Linked DNA regions of Callithrix jacchus. The protein of the gene in region 4 purifies or fractionates together with the protein of the main gene of each other region. This does not show direct contact. Links are inferred from orthologs where the notes say so. Each region holds a gene or a part of one and is shown on either strand. Other genes may lie near its edges.

Region 1 (4,278 bases), on a different chromosome or scaffold from region 4:
TGTTTTCCAGGATCTGCTGTTCCTGTTTATGACTAAAAGGGAAACAAATCGCAATTCTTTCACTGTTATTATTATTATTATTTTGAGATGGAGTCTCGCTCTCTCACCAGGCTGGAGTGCACTGGCACTACCTCGGCTCACTGCAACCTCTGCCTCCCGAGTTCAAGCGATTCTCCTGCCTCAGCCTCCTGAGTAGCTGGCACTACAGGCGCATGCCACCACACCTGGCTAATTTTTCTATTTTTTGTAGAGATGGGGTTTTGCCATGTTGGCCAGGCTGGTCTCGAACTCCTGACCTCATGTGATCCATCCACCCGCCTCAGCCTCCCAAAGTGCTGAGATTACAGGCATGTGCCACCATGCCTCTAAGAGTGATCTGGCAGTCACACCTCTGCAAGGTTAGAGATGTCAAAGGGAGTCCTGGTCTAGGCAGAAATGGGAGAGTGACACGAAGTACAGGTGCTTGTGCCGGGCGTGGTGGCGTACTCCTGTGAGTACTCACTGTGGGAGGCCGAAGTGTGAGGATCGCCTGAGACCAAGAGTTCGAGGCCAGCCAGGGCAACATAGTGAGACATTGTCTCCATTAAAAAAAAAAAAAGATCAGAATGCCTCACAAAATTCAAGAAATACAGTGACTTCAAGTGGGTTGGTTTCATTATAGCTCAAGCAGCAGACAGAGGACACGGACCGGGAAGAAATCACCCCACGCAGATGACAACTGAGGAAGGGGGAGTGGGGACTGACACGCTATAGTGAAGCCGGGCACCCCAACCAAAGGCGGTCCTAGGACTGCGACTAGGCGGGCGCAGAGGCCACCCCCCAGGCTTCGCGGGCGGGTGAGGGCAGGGCTGGGGGCCTGCTCAGTCTGGCCTTGAGGAGGGCCTTCTGAGGTCTCCCTTCTTCCCATCGAATCCCCGAGCAGTTCCCAAACAGAAATCGGAGACCAGACGGTGCCTGCGCTCCAGCCCTCTCAGGAGGACTGCACCTCGGGCCTGGCTACGAGGCGGGTCAGAGTCTGCGAAAGACCAGCGAGGGCTCTCGGGTTCTGGGGTAGGCGGCGGGTACCCACCCCCGCGCCTTCCCCAGCCCGCACTGGGAGCTGCGCGGCGACCCGGAGAGCCCGACAAGCCGGGTAGGGCTGCGGCGCAGGTCGTGCTCATGCGGAGGAAACAGCCGCCGCCCCAGCTGACGGAGTGTGGTCGGGGGCTTCCCAGAAGAGGCGGCGAGAGCAAACCCTTTCGAACATTTCCACCAGGCTAGCTCACGTAGCCTCGGCCCCGCCCCAGCCACTCCCGCCACCGCCCCCACCGGCCGACACGACGCGGGTGGGGCAATCTGCGCCAGCCCCTTTAAGAGGCGTGGTGACGTGCTCCGCCCCCACCTGCCTCTCGCGCGCCAATAAGGGGTGGGGTGTGGGAGGAGGTGCCGGGAGGCGGGGGAGTGAGGCGTGCACAGTTGCGCAGGCGCGGTGGTCGGACGACAGATCTTGTATTTCCAAAATGGCGGCAGCGATGGATGTGGATACCCCGAGCGGCACCAACAGCGGCGCGGGCAAGAAGCGCTTTGAAGTGAAAAAGGTTGGGTCTCGCCAGCACCTTCCTCAGGGAAGCTAGAGAGGCGCGGATCTGGCTGGCAGGCCCCAGGATGGTCGAGGCGCGGAGTAAAGGGTTTCATTTCAGGGCGTTCCTGGGACCGGGTACCACGAAAGGAAGCCGGGGGGCGGGTCTTAGAGTTGATCGGCGTGACGGTGGCCCACTGTCAGGGACGTGTTGGTTTCGCTGTGAGGCTGAGGGGCCAATCACGGAGCTGCTTATTGAGATACGCGGGGTTGCGATTTGGCGGCAGGAGCCAAGCGCTTGAGCTGTCACTGGAGTGGTCGAGGTGGGGGAAGGACAGGGTGGGGTAGGGTGGGTGAAATGGGGAGTCGGAGTGACTGCGGCGGTGGAGGATGGGGCAGTGCGGCGAAAGCTGGGAACAATCTGAGGTCGTACTGCATTGGAGGCCTCTGAGGGACCCCGCTGGTGATCTTGCCCCGCCCCTTTTTGAAGCTTGGGGTCCTCTCACTTTGAGGAATCCAGACTTGGTGCTCGCCGAACCGAGGCCTCCATTAACCCCATCTCTGGGCCTCACACCGTCTAAAGAGTCTGGAGTGTAGTGCTTGGCTCTTCTGAGACGTCTGTTGTCTTTTCACATAACCATCTCAGTCCTGGGTTCTCTGTCACGTCCAGAATCTCCCCCTTCCAAAATAAAAATAAAAAGCATGGTGGCATTTGTTAAGAAAATCCGAGCCCAAATCCTGTGGCATTTAGGGAGGGTTGAGTACTAGTCGTGAATGACTTGGTAAGAGTGGAAAAGCAAAAATGGAACGTGTCTTTTTATATGAAATGCCTTTTAGTGGTTTGCCACAGTTTGGGGGACAGTGTCGATTCCCACCTAACATGAAAGCTGTTCAAAATGGAGATTCTGAAATAGGGAAGATATTCCTGGAACATCTGGTTAAACACTGACATATCCCCCCTCCTAGTGCTTTTTGGTGTCTCATTGTGGCCACTGCTGCTCAGTTACAGCCAGCAGCCATATTGAAGAATAATAGAAGAGGGGCTTTTCCTCCAAGTTGAAACTGTGATGTGAAAAGTGGGAAAGAAGTTATAAGGCACTGAGAATGGGGTCTGAAAGTGATGAAGGTTTGGCAGTATTCGTAACTGAGGAAGCCAGAGTGGAATAACTGAAATGCCACTTTTAGTTAAACTCTTACTGGAATTATCTCAATACAAGACATAAAAGTTGGGAACATCTGTTTATTTTATGGTAAGAATCAAACAAAATTCTAGTGAATTCTAGAATTTGTTATAAAGTAATCTTCTAAGATTTAAGTGATGACCTTGGTCTGTGTACTGACACGGGTACTTAATTATCCAGCTTATCCCATGATTATCCATTTTATGGTCCCATGATCATCTTAGTTCATTCTGTTCCCTAGCTTTCACCTCACTGCTCATGCTTCCGGAGCTTCCTGGAAGAGCAGATACTCACTCAGATTTTGAGCTCTTCTGCAACTGCCACAAAAACCTGCACAGTAATTCAAGTTTGTGTTTATTAAGCCTACAACGGGCAGTTAAAAATTGTTCCTAATTTGTTTACATTGATACGGCTGACAATTATTTTATTTCATTTTTTTGAGGCAGAGTCACCCTTTTGCCCAGGCTGGAGTAAAGTGGCACCAATGTCAGCTCATTGCAACCTCTGCCCCCGAGGTTCAAGCAGTTCTGCCTCGGCCTGCCGAGTAGCTGGGATTATAGTCAACTGCCACCATGCCCAGCTAAGTTTTGTATTTTTACTAGAGATGAGGTTTTGCCATGTTGGCCAGGCTTGTCTCAAATTCCTGACCTCAGGTGATCCCCTCGCCTCGGCCTCCCAAAGTGCTAGGATTATAGGTACAAGCCACTGTGCCTGGCCACTAACTAAATTGTTTTATTTTATTTTATTTTGAGATGGAGTTGTGCTGTTGTTACCCAGCTTGGAGTGCAATGGCACGATCTCGGCTCACTGCAACCTCCGCCTTCTGGGTTCAAGCAATTCTGCCTCAGCCTCCCGAGTAGCTGGGACATCAGGTGCGCACTACCGTGCCCAGCTAATTTTTGTATTTTTAGTAGAGACAGGGTTTCACCTCGTTGACCAGGATGGTCTCGATCTCTTGACCTTGTGATCCACCCGCCTCAGCCTCCCAAAGTGCTAGGATTATAGGCGTGCTCCTGGCCAAAGTATTTTAAACTATAAGAAACAAAAGATGACTCATTAATTTCTGTGTTGACATACGCAGCCTTTTGGAGAATGGGAGAACATACGTGTAGTCTACCGTTGTCCTTTGATATAATAAGAATAATGTAATATCCAGAAACTTGTGTTTGGTGGTTCCCCATGGCCGAAGAGGTGGTAACTGCAGCTGCAGCATGAAGTCGTAAAGAGTGTGTGTTACAAGGAGAATGCATTGTTCCCTCTTTTTGTCTTTGCAGTGGAATGCAGTAGCCCTCTGGGCCTGGGATATTGTGGTTGATAACTGTGCCATCTGCAGGAACCACATTATGGATCTTTGTAAGTAATTGGAGGAGGATGGGAGAAAGTTGAGAAGGTTACAGAGATTGTGGCTATCTTGATGTGACCAATTTTCTTCTTCACAAGGAGATAGAAGCCTATGCTGAGCACTCGGTCTTCTGTATCTAATCTGTTGATGTGTTGGAAATAGAGTAGTTTTTTTATGATGTCCTGGAAGCATACCCA
Region 2 (2,619 bases), on a different chromosome or scaffold from region 4:
CTTTGTCACAGAATTGTGAAGAATTGGATGAAATATATATAGAAAGAAATCTTACAAGGGTGCAGAACGTGATGCTACCATCCATTGACAAGAGTTGCTGTCGCCAGTTTTTTCTCAAGCTTGACTTTGTGTTTTGCCACTAGGTGGAGCGATTTAGCCAAGAAGTTCAGATCACAGAAGCCCGCTGTTTCTATGGCTTCCAAATTGCCATGGAAAACATTCATTCTGAAATGTATAGTCTCCTTATTGACACTTACATAAAAGATCCCAGCGAAAGGTGCGTATTCAAGTGGTATGCCAAGATTTTTAGGACTCTTTAATTGTTGATTTGTGGCAAAGTTTTAGTTCATCTAGGGATAAAAATGACTCCAGAATGACTAAGCAGACATAGACATTTCCAGCACCCGTGGTCATGTCTGCTCTTAGCAAGGGGCCTAAATTCACTTTATTATTCACGTAGAGTTGTGAAGGTGCTCCACTTTTAGAGTTGGATGCCTACCAATCTAAAGCCTTTTTTTGAAGGAATTCCTACATGTTGGGTAAGACAAACTAAAACCTATGTCTGACCATCTTTGGTCATTTGGTAAATTTGTTGAGAAACTAGAATGTGGGGCTGCAGCAGGATGAAGGGCGGGGAGGACTTCCTGCTGAGGGGTTGCAGTACACTACAGGCAAATAAGAGGAGTTACACAGGCAGAGGCAGCAGTGAGCCCTGAGATGGATTTAGGTATGCAGCAGTTTGACTGAATAAAGATAGCATTAGGTCTGTTTTATGTTTTGGAGATTGATTGGAGGCGATGGGTTAGAAACGGGCTGTTGGAGTAGTCTAGACACTAAGGTCAGCTTTAGGGACTGGAGCCTCCATATGGAGTAGAAGTGGTGAAGCTGAAACCTAATGTGGCTGTTGTAAAATTAGAAGTGCATGAACAGGAAAGTGGTAACTTGAAAGGACTGAAGAAACTCGTTCTGGGTGAAGAGATTTGAATATGTTTATATAGGTGGAAATTGAGAAAAGAAGGCAAAGATTAGGGGTACGACTGGGGGCAAATGACCAGAAGGAGAATGGGTGGATTCAGGAAGTTCTGGGGAAGCCTCAAAAGCAAGGGAGAGGCAGACCCAGGTCTCAAAGAGAAGGACAGTGAGATGGAAAGAGAATAAAAGGCAGCCAAATGTGGTAGTGTGAGTCCCAGCCACTTGGCACAGCGAGGCAGAAGGATGGCTTGAGCCCAGGAGTTTGGTTTTAACATGAGCTATGATTATTTCACTGCACTCTAGCCTGGGCAACAGAGTGAGACCCTCATCCCTTAAATAAATAAACAGAAATGAAAGCTGCCCAATGTCTGGTGACCTTGGCTTCAGAACACAAGGTCATCTGGTAGGAACAGGCTGAGAAATCAGTAGCCTCTCAAGGTGGGCACCAGAAGAGTGGTAAGGGAGACCCACTTAACTAATACCCATGGATTTACTTTGCTGACCTGGGATTGACAGTGTAGGACAGAATTTTAGTAGGAAGCAATCTTTGTTTATTGGTTTAATTATTTTATGATAGAGATGTGGCAATTGGGGCCAAATAATGCACCCAGGGATAGTCTGATAATAGCATGGCAGTTAGGATTTTATGGTTCTTTAAATTTTATGGTTCGTCACATGGAACTATGACCTGGACTTGAAATAATAAAGGCAACAAATGTCCCTGCTGTACTGACCCACGTTTTACTGTTTGTAGACCCTGAAGCTCCATATGAACTACAGATTACCCACATTTGTATTAACGTAAATCAAATGTTGAGACTTTTAAAAGAACACTGGAGGGAAAAGCTGACCAATAAAAATAAAACATTTTGACATGGGTTCTTCCTTTGAGAAGAGAATCAGCAAATACTTGAATTTGGCCTTTGTCCCAGAGCTCTTATCTAGCAGCTGGTAATCGGGGGTCTTTTACTGTAATACTTCAATTGCTGATGCTGTGTGTGCCTACTAGGGAATTTCTCTTCAATGCCATTGAAACGATGCCTTGTGTCAAGAAGAAGGCAGATTGGGCCTTGCGCTGGATTGGGGACAAAGAGGCTACCTATGGTAAGGAGACCCTTGCCCCCACTTCAGCTTGAGCTTCATTTTCCATGTAATGTTACTGGATTGTTGACCCTTCCTATGAATACCAACAGTTACTCACTAGAATCCTATTGCTGTTAACTCTTAAATAGGTGAACGCGTCGTAGCCTTTGCTGCAGTGGAAGGCATCTTCTTTTCTGGTTCTTTTGCATCCATATTCTGGCTCAAGAAACGAGGACTGATGCCTGGCCTCACATTTTCTAATGAACTTATTAGCAGAGATGAGGTGAGTCTGAATCAAATCATAGGGTAACTGGAGTCCCAGACACAACTCGGGCATGCTCTGGCGTTTACTGATGGGGACCTGAGATACTAGATGGCATATATCCATGTTTAATGTGTGAGTTCGACCATACACATACTTGACAAAAGAAGGAAATACTTTAATTTACTGAAATTATTTTACTTGTATTCTCTATAATACATTAGTATATACCTATTGCCTTATAGGCTTTGAATGTGTAAAAAAGTACAAGTTTGTTTTTTGGGGGAACAGAATCTTGCTCT
Region 3 (3,935 bases), on a different chromosome or scaffold from region 4:
AGGGCATTGTAGGATGTTTAGCAGCATCTCTGGCCTCTACCCACTAAGCCAGTGGCATCCCCCAGCTGTAACAACCAAAAATGCCTCCAGAAACAACCAAATCATCCCTCATTTAAAAACAAATATTCCAAAACGAGAATTACCAACCACTGTTCTAAAACAAGAAAAAAATGGAAAATATCCAGCATGTCGCTGTTTTCTTTTAATTTCACAAATATTGAGGTACATTTCATAATATCTTGCTACTACAAGGTAACTTAAAACACTGACGGAACTAACCTCAGTATTAAGGAATCAAAGATTAAACCTATTAAGTAGTTCAGAAAGTGACCTCAGTAAGTGGCTTAACTCTGGAGTTCAGTAAGCAGTTAGCAACCATTCTGAAAATAACTAAAATGAAGAGTAGTCTTAGGCCAGGTGTAGTAACTCACGCCTATAATCCCAGTAGTTTGTGAGGCCAGGAGTTCAAGACCAGCCTGGCCAACGTGGTGAAACCCCAGCTCTACCAAAAATACAAAAAATAGCCAGGTGTGGTGGTGTGCACCTGTAGTCCAGCTACTCAGGAGGCTGAGGTGAGAGGATGGCTTGAACCAGGGAACTAGAGGTTGTAGTGAGCTGAGATCGTGCCACTGGACGCCAGCCTCAGCGAAAGAGCGAGACTGTTAAAAAAAAAAAAAAAAAGCTGGGTATGATGGCTCATGTCTGTAATCCCACTTTAGGAGGCCAAGGCAGATGAATGACCTGAGGTTAGGAGTTCAGAGACCAGGCTGGTTAACATGGCAAAAACCGGTCTCTGCTAAAAATACAAAAAAATTAAATAGGTAGGGTCCAGTGGCTCAAGCCTGTAATCCCAGCACTTTGGGAGGCCGAGGTGGGTGGATCACGAGGTCAAGAGATAGAGACCATCCTAGTCAACAATGTGAAATACCGTCTCTACTAAAAATACAAAAATTAGCTGGGCATGGTGGTGCGTGCCTGTAGTCCCAGCTACTTGGGAGGCTGAGGCAGGAGAATTGCTTGAACCCAGGAGGTGGAGGTTGCAGTGAGCCGAGATTGTGCCATTGCATTCCAGCCTGGGTAACAAGAGCGAAAGTCCGTCTCAAAACAAAAAACAACAAAAAATAAAATAAAATAAAAATTAGCTGGGCTTGGTGGTGGGTGCCTGTAACCCCTCCTACTTGGGAGGCTGAGGCAGAAGAATTGCTTTGACTTAGGAGGCGGAGGTTGCAATGAGCTGAGATCACGCCATTGTACTCCAGCCTGGGAGACAATATAAGACTTTCTTGAGGGGAAAAAAAAAAAGTCTTAACTGAACTTAGAAAGCTCCTTCAAAGGACACACATCTTATTGAGAAAAGAAAGGTCAAAAAGTGATATAACAAATGGCTTACCCAGACGTTTCCTGGGGCTGAGAGGCAGGACTTTTACATGAGAACAGGGTACAATTTGGGCATTTGTCAGTTCTAGTTTGGCATCACTAGAGTTTTTAGTTTTGTTCAATGCCTGAGACAGCTTCTTTTTTGGAAAACTGATTGTAGCCTGTGCCTGGGATCGGGTTTGAGGCATGACAGCAGCACAACTAGATACAAAAAATAACAGGACAAATCAATAGGTAAAAGTGAAGGGAAAATAACTAACATAGAATTTATTTATACTGATGATTAACACTTATTTCTTAAGTAAATTATGTTACCACAATATTTTAGCATTCAGTTCTAATTCACATCCAAATCTATGCAAGAACAGCTGACATTTGTTGTCTACCTACTACGTGGAAGCCACCGTTATAAGCACTTTATGTGCCAACTCGTTTTGTTTTACAACTGCCTTAGAGGTAGGTACTAGTATTAGCCTTTATTTTACGGATGCGAAAACTGAGATAAACAGTGGCCCAAAGTCACAGAAAAACAGGAATGTAACCCCAGGCTGGCACCAGAGTCCAAGTTTTTAACCAATTGATAAATGCAATAAGAAGTTACTTGAAATGGGCCGGGCCCCATGGCTCACGCCTGTGATCCGTACTTTCGGAGGCCAAGGCGGGCGGGTCACGAGGTCAGGAGTTCGAGACCAGCCTGGCCAATATGGTGAAACCCTGTCTGTACTAAAATAATACAAAAAGTAGCTGGGTCTGGTGGCGGGTGCCTGTAATCCCAGCTACTCGGGAGGCTGAGGCAGGGGAATCACTTGAACTGGGGAGGTGGAGTTTGCAGTGAGCCGATATCGCGCCATTGCACTCCAGCCTGGGTAACAAGAGAGACTCCATCTCAAAAAAAAAAAAAGTTACTTGAACTGATTTGTATAGAACTTCTAATTGCCCTCCTCCAGGCATGAGGGGTGTTTTATCACCAGCTCAGCCCACCAGCCGCCACATTTCTCTTCTCTCCCAAGCCCTCACACTGCAGGTCCGTCTTCTCTCAGTCTCTCCGCCCCTGCACACAGGCCTCATTCTAAGCGGCTCTCAAGGCACCCCAGAACATTTCCTTCCTACAGCTTTCAGCTCCTTCACAGCTGGAACTACCCCGAGGGCGCCTGCCCTTTCCCTGATTCCCGACCTCAGACCTCCAGCGAGCTCAGCTCTCTTCCCCTCACTTCACCTCCGGCCTCGCCGGAACCCGCAGCCTTCACCCAACGCCGCTGCCTCACAGATCGCAGGCCTCCTAGAGCAATCCTCTCCTTTCCACCTCCTCAGTGCAGGCTCCTTCTCAGGTCTCTCACACGCAGCCTCAGGGACTCACCACCAAAAGCCCCGAACAAACTGCACACCAGCAGCAGCAAAACCCAGCCGCGCTCGCGCCAAATCTAAATTACCACAGCGTTCCAGCCTCCCGCCAAAGCCCGGTCTCGATTCTGATTGGCTGTGGTCAGAGCGCTGTTCGCCTTGGGTACCGCCTCTTTTTTGCTTCCAATCCTGCGGAAGAGTTACAGCCAATGAGAGAGCCCCAAGTCTTTGAGTCACAGCGAGGCCACGCCCACTGAGCGGCGTAGACGGGAAAGAGAATCTACATCCGGGGCCTCAGTGGAAAGACGCGCGATTGCTGCAGGGCGACTCTGGGTAAGGCGGGACGGCCCGGCCGCAAAGCACGGCGGGAGGCGTAGTCTTTACTGCCGCGCGACCCTACTTCCGCGCTCTTCCTTCGACTGGGTGTCAAGATGTGGTTCCCCCTTCTCACTGCCGAACATACCCATTTGCATCGTCCTGATGGACTAGATTTTCAGTACTAGTACATGATACCTACCGTTTGGGGAGCGCTTCTGTGCGCCAGGTATGAACCCCAACCCCGGAAGGCACACAGCAAACCTCCATACAAGGTTAGAGGTCACAGCATCTTGGTGACAGTGAAAAGCCTAGGATCCAGATCTTCTGATGCCTGAACTAGTGTTTTTTTTTGGTAAAGTTCTACACAGCTATATAAAGAAAAACTATGCTTCATCATAGTATCTCTTGATTTGTACTTCAAAGGTGAGAAACAGAGCCAACTCTTTGCTTTTATTTCGTTCAAAGTTAGATTATATTATATGCACCTTCTTACCATTAATCCACACCTCGTCGGGAGAGAATTATGACCCCTTAATTTTAAAATCTTTTATGGCGAAACACTAGGGTTTCAGAGCCAGGGAAAGCAGCTATATAGAAGAGGCAAGCTGAGTTTTTAATGAAAAATATAAATTAGAGCAGTAATTTGGAGGCCAGCTTCCAAAGCCAATAACTCATCTAACCCTCAGGTTCCTTTAAAGGCCAAAACCCAATTCTAGGTCATGGTAAACATTTATCTTTTACCCCTCAGTAACAAATAAAACAGAGCCATAAAGCCTAGAAAGAGGAAAGCAACAATATTACGATCATCAGTTAATTGGTACCTAGTTCATGAAGAGAGCCAATATTGAGGGCTTTAAGTGTATGCCAGAGAATGTGCTCAGTATTTTACCTACATCGTC
Region 4 (4,126 bases):
TTTTATCCTTTTAAACACTATTCTGTTATCTAAGGGATGCAAATTTCACTGCCATAAAAGGGTACTTTCTCTGTTGACACCACAATGAATAGCGGCAACCTTAGTGTGCTGGGAGACAGCAATAGAAATTTCTGTAATCAGAATGTCTCAAAGGAAGCATCTGGTAATGTCCTTGTTTCCTTTGCCCTCCTCTTTTTTTTTTGGATACAGGGTTTCGCTTCCATTGCCCAGGCTAGAGTGCAGAGGCACTATCATGGCTCACTGCAGCCTGGACTGCCCGGGCTCAGGGATTCGTCCGGCCCCAGCCTCCCAAGTAATGGGAGTACTGGCATGCGCCACCACACAGGGCTAACTTTTGTATTTTTTGTAGAAACGAGGTCTTGCTATGGCTGGTCTTGAACTCCTGGGCTCAAGCGATCTGCCCTCCTAGCCTCCCAAAGTGATGGGATTACAGGCGTGAGCCACAGCACCTGGCCTGCCCTCCTTTTTAGCCAGCTTTGCTCTGACATTTAAGAACGCAAGGCCTTGATGGTATAATCAACAACGCTAGGGCTCATGCTGTTTCCATCTGGGGACTCACAGCTCGGACTGCCAGGATGTCTTCCACAGAAAGCCACTTCAGGATGTGAAACAGCACATCTTCGGGGAGACTCAAGATGGTCAGGTTTCGGGGCCTCCTTCTTACTCTTCGCTTTGTAGGATAACAGAAACACTTGGCACACCTACAGTGGACCACTTAAGGAAAAAGAGACAGAAGCCTTGATAAGATGAAAAGTTACTCTACATACAACCCTTAAAGGAAAAAAAAAGGATAAATTTCCATCTGAAGATGATCTAACGGTTACTATTCCCTGCACCACAAAAGAAGGAATCATGCTTCTTGTCTCAAACAAAGATTACGCATAGGAGTGGCATTGCAGGAATTACAGAGGACATCATTCATTTTCAAATATTCAACAAATATTTGGCAAATGGCACCCATCATGTAACTTAGCTATTGGGAAACCTTCTGATCCAGGGCCCACAGACACCCAGGGAGGGGAAAAAGCTGCCAAGGCTGAGGACGGTTTTCCTCACATTCACTCTGAGGAAAGCCCCTGGTTACCCCGCGACCCCTGCCCTGGGTTAAAGGGCTCCAGCCCGCCCTCCTCAGCCAGGGACTCTCCTCTCGACGGACCCCTGGGGCCTTTGGGGGATAGCTTGCTTTTGCCACACATGACCAGGGTGCGTAATGTTCACTAAGGATCTGTGGGCTTGAAGCGTCGTGTTTTCAAGTCCAAATTAGAAGGGTCGGCCATGGAGAGCAGCCACAGACTTGGAGGCCGGGGGCAGTGTGTGCCCGAGTCTGCGCTCTGCAGACCTGCCAGGCCCCTGAGTCTCAGTGTGTCCTCCACTGCAGAATGTGGGGTTGACAGCTACACAGTAAGGTTGTTGCTCAGATCCCAACACAAACCTAAACCTGTAGGTCTGCGTACAGGTGCAATCGTTAAAGGTGAGGCAGGCTCTCCACCCACCAGGCAGGCAGCCCAGCCATGCTGCTCTCCTCTCCCCACAGTCCGATTTCCCAATTCCTACCCCAGCAACCCCTTCCTCACTCTAAGCAGATGACCTTAGCCCTTATTTCATAGGACAACAGAAGCCCTCAGGGAGGAACCCCAGGATCCTGCCTCCCCATGTACAAATCTACCTTTCTTTTTTTTTTTCTTTTGAGACGGAGTTTCGCTCTTGTTACCCAGGCTGGAGTGCAATGGCGCGATCTCGGCTCACCGCAACCTCCGCCTCCTGGGTTCAGGCAATTCTCCTGCCTCAGCCTCCTGAGTAGCTGGGATTACAGGCACGTGCCACCATGCCCAGCTAATTTTTTTTTTGTATTTTTAGTAGAGACGGGGTTTCACCATGTTGACCAGGATAGTCTCGATCTCTTGACCTCGTGATCCACCCGCCTCGGCCTCCCAAAGTGCTGGGATTACAGGCTTGAGCCACCGCGCCCGGCCCAAATCTACCTTTCTGTCCATTCTTCTTCCAGTCCTGAAAGGGAACGCCACTCCCCTCTGTGGGCCCGAGCCTCTCCGCGCCAGAACCTCCCAGCGATCGCCCCCTGCTCCCCTCTCTTGCCCTGGGTCTTCCCTTCAGCAATTAAATCAGCTGCAAAAGCCAAACGTAGTCTAGAGCTACAAATTCTCAGATTCTGAAGACCTCCCCATTAAACAGTCCTCATTCCCCGGCTCGAGGACAGACACTTGGAGTCGTGTGACGATCGCCGTGATGATAACTGAACCCGCAGTTCGGGCTCCCCCGCCTCAACGCGCGCGGAGCCGAGCGCGGCTTTCCACGGAGCTGGGTCTACGGCCCCGCTGGACGGAAGCCCCGTCAGGACCGGCAGGGCCGCGGGATCGCCTCGCCCCACGCGCTCCGCAGCCCCATCCCCGGCCAGGAGGCGCTGGTGTTTGGCTCCCCGGGACCCCACTGCCGCTCCGGGAACTGGCTGGGAAACGTCGCGGCGAGGGAAGACGCCGAAGGGCTCAGGCGCCCGCAGGGCATTTAAACCGCGCGCCCGGCCGCTGCGGCTCCCCGCGCCGAACGCGACCCCCGCCCCGGGGTTAAAGGGCTCGAGCCCGCCCTCCTCAGGCCGCAGGGTCTTTCCTCTCGCGGGACCCGCCGTCCGCCCCTCAGGACAGGCAGAAGGGGCGCGGGGCAGGGACCGGCGGACATCTCCCGGTACTCACCGCCGCCGCTCCCCATCGCGGCGCTCGCGTAGCTGCAGCCAGAGCCCGCCTGAGAGCGCGCCCGAGCCCCGGCTGGAGCGCGCCTATCCCTTGCGCAGGCGCAGACCCCGCCCCGCCGCCCGCCCCAGTTTTCAAACGCGCCCGGCCCTCCCATTGGCCTGCCCGGGGGGGCCGCCGGCGGCCTCGCCCACGCCCCGCCTCGGACACGCCTTATTCCCCGCCCTCCACGCCCACCCCGTCTGCTCAGGGCGCCCACCATTGGCCGCGCCAGGACGCAAATTCGAACCTTGGCCGCTGATTGGTGGAGCCCGCGTGGCCGCCCCGCCTCCCCAGCGGGGAAGTGAGTCCCTGAGCAGCTCCCGGGCCGGGCGGGCGAGCGTTTGGCTCCGTTCTTTCCCGCCTGCGTGAGTCCGGGCTGTGCGGCTGACTCCGGCGACTGGCACCCGCGATGCCACATACGCTGCGAAGACGCGTGCCGGCGGCCAGGGGAAAGGGGGACTCCTTGGCGCCCCTCGCAGTCGCCGCCGTGACCCGACCTGCGAGAGCCCCGACGTGGCGCTTCTAGGACGAGGCGGTGCCCTGCCCCGGTCCCGGGGTCGGTCCTGCGCCCGCGACCCTCGCCCCTGGCCTGCACGGTCTTCCTTTCAGCCGCCCGCTTCAGGTGGAGACCCTCGGGTTTGTGGCCGAGCGCTCCTGGGCGGGGATGCCGGCCCAGATCGTGGCACGGAAAGCTGGAAGTCTCCCCGGCCCACCCTCCGGAACGCGGACCCCTTCTTCCCGCGAGACGTGGCGCACCCTGGACGCCTCAGTGCCCCAGGACCGGGGCAAGCCCTCCTCACCGCTCTGACCGGTTGCTGACCCGTCTCGCCTCCTCGGCGCCGCTCGGGATCTGCCCACTCTTGTCTCGGGCAGAGCGCATCCGAGCTGTCCTTCGGGAATCATCCTCACCCCACCCCTTTCACGGCACGGGCTGTCAAGGGAACACGCATCCTCCCGAGTGTCTGGTGGAGGCGGGGGCCTGGGCCAAGGCTGCCCACCCCTCCCTCACGCTTCCCTCAGTCTGCACCCTCCCATCCTTCTGAGTGCCCACAGCCCTCGTGATCACCAAACCCCTAAAGGTACTGGGCCTGCCCTGGGCACACAGACAGGAGCTCTGGCATGCAGGCGTCAGCCAGCCTGGAGCTAGAGACAGAGTACACAGGTGATCACAGCACGGGGCACAGAAGAGTTCCTGGCCCCGGAGAGGCCCTGGAATCTGGAAGCTGGTGAAGGAGGGTGAAGCGAGGACAGGCTGAGCGAGTTTGGGGCCTGCTCCCCAGATATCCCATGTTCTGAGCCCCCAGATTTCTTATCCCATCATCTCACTTTTGTCCCCCTGGATTAGTGTTCCTTCTTTGTCA
Region 5 (3,500 bases), on a different chromosome or scaffold from region 4:
TTTTGATATCAATTGTAGTGTGTTGGTTTACCAATCAGGCAAACAACAGTTCACTTTCAACCACTCAATATTTCAACCTTTCATGTAACAAAACTTAGAAAATTCCTTTAGCTCTTCCTTTTTTAAAAGAAAAACGTCAAAAATACTGCTGAATATACTCCACACTGAACAAACCAATTTTGAAAATTCTTAGTACATGTATTTTACAATATACTTACCAGTGAGTTTAGAAAAATCTGAATTCCCACCATTCTATACCAACCAACCACAAACTGTCTACATTCCCCAGCCAGAAGACTTAGAATCCATGCTTGAGCCAAAGCCTCCATTAAAACCACTACCCGACCCTGCATTTGATGCTGATCCCCAACCAATTGCTGCACCAGAATTAGAACCACTATAAGAGTTATTTCCAGAACCAAAGGCCTGGTTTGGCTCCCTCTGCATGTTGCCTTGGCTTTGGTTATTACCCGATGGGCCTGACTGGTTCTGCTGGCTGGCTAACATGCCCATCATACCCCAACTGCTCTGTAGCGCTGCCTGGGCTGCAGCCATCATGGCTGGATTAATGCTGAATGCGCCAAAGTTCATCCCACCACCCATATTACTACCTTGATTGTTTCCCAAACCAGCTCCACCCCCTCTACTATTACCAAATCCACCCTGATTCCCAAAGCCACCTGGATTACCACCAAATCTTCCACTTCTTTCTAACTGTCTATTGCTATTGTGCTTAGGTTCGGCATTGGATATGTGAACGCTGATTCCTTTAATGATCAAGTCCTCGCCACAAAGAGATTGCGCAATCTACAAGAAATAAGGGATGTAAACAAATAAGATTAAACCACTGATTTATACATCAAAGTAGCAACAAAACTTAGATTACAAGCATTAACTAAAGCCAGAGGAAAAATAAGCAATGAATGCTCATTTTGTTTAACCCCACAATACAGCTTTAGTTTTAGTAATAGCAGCAGTGATATTTCAGTCTATTTTCAAAAGACATAGGCTCGGCATGGTGGCTCATGCCTGTAATCCTAGTGCTTTGGGAGGCCAAGGTGGGAGGACTGTGTGAAGCCAAGAGTTTAAGACTCGTCTGACAGCCTGGGCAACACAGTGAGACCCCACCTCTATTAAAGACAAAAACCCTGCAAAAAAACCACACTAGCTGGGCATGGTGGCATGCACCTGTTCTAGCTACTTGGGAGGCTGAAGTTGGAGGATTCTCTTCCTGGAGGCTGAGCCCAGGAGTTCTAGGGTGCAGTGAGCTCTGATTACACCACTGCATTCCACCAGCCTAGGCAACAGAGTGAGACCCTGTATAAAAAAAAAAAAAGGGTGTGTGTGGGGGCTCTCACCTGTAATCCCAGCACTTTGGGAGGCTGAGGCAGGCGGATCACCTGAGGTTAGGAGTTCAAACCAGCCAGATCAAAATGGTGAAACTCCATCTCTGGGCGTGGTGGTACATGCCGTTAATCCCAGCTACTTAGAAGGGTGAGGCAGGAAAATCACTTGAACCCAGGAGGCAGAGGTTACAGTGAGCTGAGATCACACCACTGCACTCTAGCCTGGGCAACAAGAGCAAAACTCTGTCTCAAAAAAAAAATATTTAACATTCCCAAATGCCATATACTGAAAATTATCTAAAGGTTGATTTACTTTTAGAAATTTCTTAAAAATGTTGTATTTGTAGCCGGGCATGGTGGCTCACATCAGTAATGCCAGCATTTTGGGAGGCCAGGGAGGGTGGATCACTAGGCCAGGAGTTCAAAGACCAGCCTGACCAATATGGTGAAACCCCACCTGTACTAAAAACACAAAAATTAGCCAGGCATGGTGATGTACATCTATAGTCCCAGCTACTCAGGAGGCTGAGGCAGGAGAATTGCTTGAACCTGGGAGGCGGAGACTGCAGTAAGAGAAGTGCCACTGCACTCCAGCCTAGGCAACAGAGCAAGACTCCATCTCAAAAAACAAAAAAGTTGGGGCGGGGGGAACATCTAGGCCCATACACTCTACATCTTATAAGGTGAAAAAACTTAGCTAAGAACAGCAATTAGCTGGATGGGAAATGTTCAAGAGAAATTACCTAATTACCTGGCCCATATTGTTAAGGAGAAAAATACCTGATCATCTGCAAATGTTACAAAGGCAAAGGCCCTGAACGGCTTGGGGATGAAGACATCCATCACCTCCCCGTACTGGGAGAAGAACTGCCGCAGCTCGTCCTCAGTCATGTCCTCTGTACAGCGCCCCACAAACACTTTTCTGCTTCTCAAAGGCTCATCTGCACTTTGCTGGTCAAATCAAAAGGAAGGAAAAAACTCAAATATAAACAATGAAAAAAGCATTAAGGTAAGGGATATAACAAAATCTTTCTGCCTTGGATAGTAGTGAGTTATTAAAAAGGGACATACTCTTAATTTTTTTGCATCAACATTTCTTTTTCTTGTAAGGCTTCAATAAAGAGTAACATTTTAAGTTACAAACGTACACAGTCATGCATCACATAATGATGGAAATATGTTCTGAGAAATGAATCATGAGTCGTTATACCATTTCATCACTGTGGCCAGGTGTGGTGGCTCATGCCTGTAATCCCAGAACTTTGAGAGTGAGGTGGGTAGATCACCTAAGGTTATGAGTTCAAGACCAACCCCACCTAGTCAACATGGCAAAACCCCATCTCTACTAACAATACAAAAATTAGCTGGGTGTGGTGTCGGGCGCCTTTACGTAATCCCAGTGACTTGGGAAGTTGTGGCAGGAGAATCGCTTGAACCTGGGCAGGGGAGGTTGCAGTGAACTGAGACTGCACCATTACACTCCAGCCTGGGCAACAACTCCATCTCAAAAAAATTAAAAAAAATAAAAATAAAAACTTCATCATTGTGCAAACATCATATAAAACCAGATAGCTTCTACATTGCTGATAGCCATTACTGGAGATAAAGAAAAAGAAAAAAGAAAGAAAGCCAGATAGCATAGCCACCCCACATCTAGGCTGGATGGTATAGCCTACTGCGCCTAGGCCACAAACTTCCAAGTTACTATACTCAACACTGCAGGCAACTGTAACCCCATAGTAAGTACGTGTATATCTAAACATGGAAAGGGGACAGTAAAAACAGTGTTATAATCTTACGGGACCTCTACTGTACACTTGGTCCACTGCTGACTGATGAATTTTGCAATGTGATGCATGACTGTATTTGGATTTGAGAAAATCAATAAATGACCAATCTCCTGGCAAAGATGATGATGTGCCAAATAAGCAGATGTTACTTGTTTGCTTGGACAAAGTTAGATTTTATAACAAGATTAATATATATATATATATTCTGATTGTCTTCATGTTTTAACATATAACTATGTAAGGAAACTTAACTTGACAAATAACCTTTTCTCTTTCACATCCATAACAAAAAGAACAAAATGAACAAAGCTTTAGTTTGAAGAAGTAATAAACTAAATATCTGCAACAAGCATAAAATATTCAG
Region 6 (3,500 bases), about 17 Mb from region 4:
CAAAATAATAAACTTCATTGTATGTTATTAACTTCAATGACTGCCTATAATCCTTTATACTGTTAAGTATTGCTGAATAAAAACAGTACTTGCTATTTTGCTTACAGGTTCACAAGTGACAAATAGTGGAGATGAAATGCATGAGAAAAAAACATGGAGAGTAGTCACTGTGGCAAACTGATATCAGGCAAAATAATACTAATTCCTCAATGATTTTCCAACTTGCTAAGACTCAGTGCAATACAGAATATTAACATGGGAAAAACAGAAAATGTCTTAAAATTCCACAGATCTGGTGTTTGGTCTGAGTCCTTTCAAATGGTTGTCTTTCAAACTAGCTTATTCTGACTGCCTCTGGAGCAGGCAGCACCTTCAGCTATGTAACCCTTTATGACAATTCCATTAACTGTCACTCAACAATTTCCAAAGATGACCTTTTAAATTATACCATATATGAGTGACACTATGAATTACATTCACTACATACATACAAAAGGTAAGCCATCATTTCAAAGTTACGATCAATAGCTTGCTCCCTAATTTGAAGGGAATCACTTAGTAATAAAAGCTCTCAAATTTACCTAATTATATATTAATGGAAAGATTAGAATTGATTAGAGGTTTAATCTTCAATGCCCGGTGAGTAATTTAGGTTTCTTGTAAATGTCCAGAAAGCAGTATAATTAAAGCACAACACTTGGAAAGTATTTTTAAATGGATCACATAATTTTTAAGTGAGCTTAATCAAAGTGTCTTAACAAAGATACCTTAAAAATATTAAAGCATTTGGTTAAGAGTTTTGAATTAGCTCAAGAATGAGTTTGTCTTCTTGCCACCATAAACAGAATTTTAAAACACAGTTTTTAGTTTAGCTCTTAATCCTCAGATGATGAACATAAGGAGAGATTCAGCTCAAGCTTCTGATTGAGCAAAATATGAAGACCTCCTCCCATTGGCATATTCACATGTGATCTTACAGTTTGAGGGAGAAAGGTTTCATCCCCTTATGTGCAGACACACTTCCCCAAGCTGAACAGACAATGCATAGACTTAGCACCAGAGATAATCATTATCTTTTATTCATTAAATAAAAAGGTTTTATTTAATAAATTAAGCATGGTGAAAAAAATTCCACAATTTTTTCAGAATTAAAAATACGTGGTGTTTTCCATATTATAGAAATATTAAAGAAATCAAGATTGGAATAACAGTTTTACTAAGACTTCCTGACTACCATGAAATGCTAAGACCAAAGAACACTAATTGGATGACCGTGAATATGCCAAAATTATGGTGGCAAGGAAAGACAATCTATTCCACTTCTGTGGCCTGAGTTACGGGGCGGCTTGTGCACTTCCTTCTATTGAATGGGCTTCAGAAATTCATTTTCTACACACCTGTAACAGGCACTCTGTTAGGCACTCTGCTCTGTGAAGGCTTCTGTCTATTTTGCACAGCCCCCTTCACTGATGTCTTAGGGGTTCTAATTGAATATAAAAAAATTAATAAGTCACTGGCATTAAGGTCTAAATGTTCAAAATTCAAAGAAAGCAATCACAATGCATCAACTGTCCAAAGCACAAATAAGCTTCAAAAGAACTGGAGTCTCATGCATGTGCACAGCAAGGAAAGCTAAACTCTGGCTTCAGCAGGAGACTACAAGCATGATTCATACTCTGTTGGAGAATCACTTCGGTGATGATGAATTTACTATATGGATATTTAAATACTTAATGAGTAAAATGATATGAAATGAAAAGTAAAAACATGCCAACATAAGATAGGAGTTAGAATACACAACAGTATGCTAGGAGGGCTAAATTTGAAGACAAAACTTTAAAATACCTTTCCCAATGTTATAAAAAAAAATCACATTTGAAAAACCATTATCCTTTATGTAAAGAACACGGCTTTATTTTTCCCTCTGAACCTAATCTTGGTTTCCATAGTTTCCAATAACTGTGTGTGGCATTCTTACCCTTGTCTACTAAGTAGCCTATGAACAGGTGCATTCTGTCCTTGGTTTGGCTGAAGGACTCTGTTGACAAATTAAATAAAAAATTAATTTAAAAGGATAAATTCCATTTTTTCCCATTTTCTTTCAACGGATGAAAGATGATGACAGTAAGAAGAAAGTCATCTATGCAATAATACGGCCTATATATTACCACAAAGCAAAGCAAATTGACTAAAGCATATTAATATGGTACTTATATTTTGCTCACTGAGAGTCCAAACCTCAGGTTTTTATCACCAAAGAAATGGCCAACATATAGACTAACCCTTGTGCTTTAAGATAATTTTCTTACACACATACTTTACAAAAGCTAACCTTTCCTTTCAAACAGGTTGAGAGAAGAAAATATTGCTCTCATTTTACAGGTGTGAAAAACAGGTCAGAAATACTCAAGTTTGCTTTTTAGTTTTATTTATTTATTTATTTATTTTTCTGAGATAGGTCTTACCCAGACTGGTTTGGACTCCTGGGATTAAGCTATCCACTTGCCTCAGCCTCCCAAGTAGCTGGGAATACAGGAACATGCCACTGAGCCCAGCTTAAGTTAGCTTTTTTTCGTTTTTGTTTTGTTTTGTTTTGTTTTGAGACAGAGTCTTGCTCTGTCACCCAGGCTGGAGTACAATGGCGCTATCTTGGCTCATTGCAACCTCTGCCTCCTAGGTTAGCCAATTCTCCTGCCTCAGCCTCCTGAGTAGCCAAAATTACAGGCACATTCCAACACACCCAGCTTTTTGTATTTTTAGTGGAGACGGAGTTTCACCATGTTGGCTGGGCTTGTCTTGAACTCCTGACCTCATGGTCCACCCGCCTCGACCTCCCAAGTTCTAGGATTACAGGTGTGAACCAATGCACCTGGCCGAGCTTAAGTTAGCTTTCTAAGGTTTTTAAGTAAGTATCAAAGATCCTCTGGACTGTGTAACTGAACTCAAGACATATCAGGCTCAAATTTCTACCACAGATAGCATGCCCTACAAAAGCTCCAGGCACATCTGGTCTGACATGGGACCAAGTATACAGCCAGGTATTCATATGATTCTTGAGCCTGTGGACCATCCCCCACCCAATTCAGCAGGAAGTGTTCTACTGATGTCAAATAGAACAAAGTCAATGAAAATGAAGCTTGGGCTTTATAAATTTTATTTTTTTTAAATTTTGAGATGGAGTTTCACTCTTGTTACCCAGGCTGGAGTGTAATAGCGTGATCTTGGCTCACTGCCACCTCCACCTCCCGGGTTTAAGCAATTCCCCTGCGTCTGCCCCACAAGTAGCTGGGATTATAGGCATTCGCCACCACGCCCAGCTAATTTTGCATTTTTAGTAGAGACGGGGTTTTCCATGTTGGTGAGGCTGGTCTCAAATTCCTGACCTCAGGTGATCCGCCCACCTCAGCCTCCCAAAGTGCTGGGATTACAGGTGTGAGCCACCATGCCCGCCCAATTTTTTTTTCCCTATAAAAAACAAAAAGCTTCTCATTGAGACTAAA
Region 7 (3,500 bases), on a different chromosome or scaffold from region 4:
TTAAGGTTTTTTTTTTTTCTTTTTGAGACAGTTTCACTCTTGTTGCCCCAGGCTGGAGTGTAGTGGTGTGGTCTCAGATCACTGCAACCTCTGCCTCCTGGGTTCAAGCGATTCTCCTGTCTCAGCCTCCCAAGTAACTGGGATTACAGGTATGTGCCACCATGCCTGGCTTATTTTTGTATTTTTAGTAGATGTGAGCCGCCGTGCCCCACCAATCTTAACTATTTCACAGGCCCTGTAGCTCAATATACTCCTAAATACCTTTGTGTGGTTCATAGTTGAGGGGACGAGACAAACTTGCTTTAAGATCAAACACTGGTTTCTTATTCGAGACTGGAGTCTGCATTGCCTCAGTTGTCAACTTGAATGGGGTAATAACTAAAAAAAAAAAAAAAGAAGAAAACAAGAGCTTAGTTAGAAACAAAGACCTGTTAAAATGTTTGTCAAAGTGTTACTTCTCAATCTTAAAAACACATATTATTGTCTGAATGTTTGTACCTCTTGTGACTCCAAATTCATGTTGAAATACTAACCCTCAATATGACTGGTGTAAGGAAGTAGGGCCTTTGAGAGTAAGTAGGTCATGAATGGGGTTCAGTGCCTCATAAAGGGACCCCACAGAATTTTCTCTAGCTCTGTCACATGACCATACAATAAGTTGGCAGTCTGCTACCTGGAAAAGAGCCCTCACCAGAATCATGCTAGTGTCCTGATCTGTCTTCATCCAGCCTCCAGAACTATGAGAAAGAAACACTGCTGTTTATAAGATAGTCTTTGTGCTTTGTTGTATAATAGCAGCCCCAAAGGCCTGAGAGAATCTACATGAATACTCTGAAATAGATGAAAGAGTCTGAAGTAAGGGTTAAAATGGAGACAAGGGAAGAAAACAGTAAGTGAGGAAAGCTAACCATTGAGATTAGTTTCCTTTGCTAAACAGCTTTGTAAATGTTCTGAGTATGACATTTCTTTTTTTTTTTGAGATGGAGTTTCACTCTTGTTATCCAGGCTGGAGTGCAATGGCGCAATCTCCGCTCACCACAACCTCCACCTCCTGGGTTCAGGCAATTCTCCTGCCTCAGCCTCCGGAGTAGCTGGGACTACAGGCACACACCACCATGCCCAGCTAATTTTTTGTATTTTTAGTAGAGACGGGGTTTCACCATGTTGACCAGGATGGTCTCAATCTCTTGACCTCGTGATCCACCCGCCTCGGCCTTCCAAAGTGCTGGGATTATAGGCTTGAGCCACCGCGCCCGGCTGACATTTCTTAGGATCAGCTGGGAGTTTAGAATTCTGTTGAAAGAAATAACGGTATGGCTGGGCGCGGTGGCTCACGCCTGTAATCCTAGCACTTTGGGAAGTGGAGGCAAGTGGATCACCTAAGGTCGAGAGTTCAAATCCAGACTGATCAACATGGAGAAACCCCACCTCTACTGAAAATACAAAATTAGCTAGGCATGGCTGCCCATGCCTGTAATCTCAGCTACTCCGGAGGCTGAGGCAGGAGAATGACATGAACCCAGGAGTCAGAGGTTACAGTGAGCCAAGATCGTGCATTGCACTCCAAGCTAGGCACCAAGAGGGAAACTCCATCTCAAAGGAAAAAGAAAAAAAGAAATAATGGTAATTTTTCAGCTTATTTCCCTGATAACAGCTACTCATAAAAATTACATATTAATAGTATCATTAACATAAACAAACATAAAAAGAACCTAATCACATAAAGTTGAAAGGATTCATGGCCTGGTGACTCATACCTGTAACCTCAGCACTTTGGGAGGCTGAGGCAGGAGAATTGTTTGTAGACAGAATATTATTAATAAAGGCTGTTATCACTTAAGAATATGAATTTTTGGGGGGCTGGGTGTGGTGGCTCACGCCTGTAATCCCAACATTTCGGGAGGCTGAGGTGGGCAGATCACAAGGTCAGGAGATTGAGACTGTCCTGGCCAACATAGTGAAAGCCCATCTCTACTAAAAATACAAAAATCAGCTGGATGTGGTGGTGCGCACCAGTAGTCCCAGCTATTTGGGAGGCTGAGGCAAGAGAATGACTCGAACCCAGGAAGCAGAGGTTGCAGTGAGCCGAGCTTGCACCACTGCACTCCAGCCTGGTAACGGAGGGAGACTCCATCTCAAAAAACAAAAACAAAAACAAAAAAACATAATTTTGTTTGTTTGTTTTGTTTTGAGACGGAGTTTCGCTCTTGTTACCCAGGCTGGAGTGCAATGGCGCATCCATCATGTTGGCACAGACCACCATGTTGACCAGGATGGTCTCGATCTCTTGACCTCATGATCCACCCGCCTCGGCCTCCCAAAGTGCTGGGATTATAGGCGTGAGCCACCGCGCCTGGCCCAAAAAAATATAAATTTTTGAACCATGAAGTTAAAAATATCCAGGATAGTGAAGTTTTTATTTTTTTGAGATGGAGTCTTGCTCTGTCACCCAGGCTGGATGATATGACCTCGGCTCAGTGCAACCTCTGCCTCCCTGGTCAAGTGATTCTCAAGAGAGTAGCTGGGATTACAGGTGTGCGCCACCAGGCCTGGCTAATTTTTGTATTTTTATAAGAGACGAGGTTTTGCCTTGTTGGCCAGGCTGGTCTCAAACTCCGGACCTCAAGTGATCCTCCTGCCTTGGCCTCCCAAAGAGCTGGGATACAGCTGTGAGCCACTGTGCCCTGTCTAAAGATGGTTTGGTTTGGTCAGCCTTTTTGCTACAGTTGACCATCAGTTATCTAGCACATTTTGTAATCCCTTCTCTTTTTTTTTTTTATTTGAGACGGAGTCTCACTCTGTTGCCCAGGCTGGCTGGAATGCAGTGGCACAATCTCGGCTCACTTCAACCTCTGCTTCCTGGTTCAAGTGATTCTCCCACCTCAGCCTCCTGAGCAGCTGGGACTACAGGTGCATGCCACCATGCTGGGCTAATTTTTGTATTTTTAGTAGAGATGGTATTTTACCATGTTTGCCAGGCTAGTCTTGAACTCCTGACCTCAAGTGGTCCACCCGCCTCGGCCTCCCAAAGTGCTGGGATTACAGACAAGAGCCACCATGTCCGGCCAATCCTTTCTCTTCATAGGGGGAAGCCACTTATCATTTGTATCCAGGTCATTGCCAAATGTGAACACTTGCCTCCATCTGTGAACCAGCAATCAGGATCTAAGATCAGCTAGTTAAACACCCAAAAGCACAAAACTCCATGTTCAAGGGATCCCACTGTATCAATATCAGGTGTTGGCAGGGAGTAGAATAAGGGGCTGCCATACACTGCCAGTGGAAAGCATGAATTGGTACAATTCATCCAGGGCAGTTAATGTCTGCATATTTTCCAATCCAGCTGTCCTGCTCCTAGGTCTAGGGAAATTCTTGCACAGGAGACATGTTTAAGAGTATTCATGACAACATCATACATAATCATGAAAGCTGGAATGACTCACATGTTCATGAATAGTACAATAGATAAATCAACTGACATATACCCATATCATTGAAAA

What was found.
Region 1: the proteins of CCNF (region 4) and RBX1 purify together in Homo sapiens (affinity purification with western blotting, with the first as the bait; 4 studies listed by BioGRID). This does not show direct contact. The link is inferred for Callithrix jacchus from reciprocal best matches to the Homo sapiens genes CCNF and RBX1.
Region 2: the proteins of CCNF (region 4) and RRM2 purify together in Homo sapiens (affinity purification with western blotting; 5 studies listed by BioGRID and IntAct, with this or other methods). This does not show direct contact. The link is inferred for Callithrix jacchus from reciprocal best matches to the Homo sapiens genes CCNF and RRM2.
Region 3: the proteins of CCNF (region 4) and CDC6 purify together in Homo sapiens (affinity purification with western blotting; 4 studies listed by BioGRID and IntAct, with this or other methods). This does not show direct contact. The link is inferred for Callithrix jacchus from reciprocal best matches to the Homo sapiens genes CCNF and CDC6.
Region 5: the proteins of CCNF (region 4) and TARDBP purify together in Homo sapiens (affinity purification with western blotting; 3 studies listed by BioGRID, with this or other methods). This does not show direct contact. The link is inferred for Callithrix jacchus from reciprocal best matches to the Homo sapiens genes CCNF and TARDBP.
Region 6: the proteins of CCNF (region 4) and CCP110 purify together in Homo sapiens (affinity purification with western blotting; 7 studies listed by BioGRID and IntAct, with this or other methods). This does not show direct contact. The link is inferred for Callithrix jacchus from reciprocal best matches to the Homo sapiens genes CCNF and CCP110.
Region 7: the proteins of CCNF (region 4) and NUSAP1 purify together in Homo sapiens (affinity purification with mass spectrometry; 3 studies listed by BioGRID, with this or other methods). This does not show direct contact. The link is inferred for Callithrix jacchus from reciprocal best matches to the Homo sapiens genes CCNF and NUSAP1.

What each region holds. Positions count from the first base shown.
Region 1 is NC_133502.1:191,767,907-191,772,184, forward strand, and holds the start of RBX1 (E3 ubiquitin-protein ligase RBX1), read left to right. Parts: upstream 1-1,478; 5' UTR 1,479-1,499; coding exon 1,500-1,577; intron 1,578-4,013; coding exon 4,014-4,092; intron 4,093-4,278. UniProt on the Homo sapiens protein: E3 ubiquitin ligase component of multiple cullin-RING-based E3 ubiquitin-protein ligase (CRLs) complexes which mediate the ubiquitination and subsequent proteasomal degradation of target proteins, including proteins involved in cell cycle progression, signal transduction, transcription and transcription-coupled nucleotide excision repair.
Region 2 is NC_133515.1:104,869,947-104,872,565, reverse strand, and holds part of RRM2 (ribonucleoside-diphosphate reductase subunit M2), read left to right. Parts: intron 1-143; coding exon 144-277; intron 278-1,981; coding exon 1,982-2,076; intron 2,077-2,204; coding exon 2,205-2,338; intron 2,339-2,619. UniProt on the Homo sapiens protein: Provides the precursors necessary for DNA synthesis. Catalyzes the biosynthesis of deoxyribonucleotides from the corresponding ribonucleotides. Inhibits Wnt signaling.
Region 3 is NC_133506.1:92,974,105-92,978,039, forward strand, and holds the start of CDC6 (cell division control protein 6 homolog), read right to left. Parts: upstream 2,801-3,935; 5' UTR 2,552-2,800; intron 1,579-2,551; 5' UTR 1,566-1,578; coding exon 1,391-1,565; intron 1-1,390. UniProt on the Homo sapiens protein: Involved in the initiation of DNA replication. Also participates in checkpoint controls that ensure DNA replication is completed before mitosis is initiated.
Region 4 is NC_133513.1:4,375,602-4,379,727, forward strand, and holds the start of CCNF (cyclin-F), read right to left. Parts: upstream 2,801-4,126; 5' UTR 2,743-2,800; coding exon 2,727-2,742; intron 736-2,726; coding exon 581-735; intron 1-580. UniProt on the Homo sapiens protein: Substrate recognition component of a SCF (SKP1-CUL1-F-box protein) E3 ubiquitin-protein ligase complex which mediates the ubiquitination and subsequent proteasomal degradation of target proteins.
Region 5 is NC_133508.1:48,894,193-48,897,692, reverse strand, and holds part of TARDBP (TAR DNA-binding protein 43), read right to left. Parts: intron 2,298-3,500; coding exon 2,127-2,297; intron 808-2,126; coding exon 277-807; 3' UTR 1-276. UniProt on the Homo sapiens protein: RNA-binding protein that is involved in various steps of RNA biogenesis and processing.
Region 6 is NC_133513.1:20,957,481-20,960,980, reverse strand, and holds part of CCP110 (centriolar coiled-coil protein of 110 kDa), read right to left. Parts: intron 2,039-3,500; coding exon 1,979-2,038; intron 1,484-1,978; coding exon 1,398-1,483; intron 1-1,397.
Region 7 is NC_133509.1:45,230,140-45,233,639, forward strand, and holds part of NUSAP1 (nucleolar and spindle-associated protein 1), read right to left. Parts: intron 379-3,500; coding exon 262-378; intron 1-261. UniProt on the Homo sapiens protein: Microtubule-associated protein with the capacity to bundle and stabilize microtubules. May associate with chromosomes and promote the organization of mitotic spindle microtubules around them.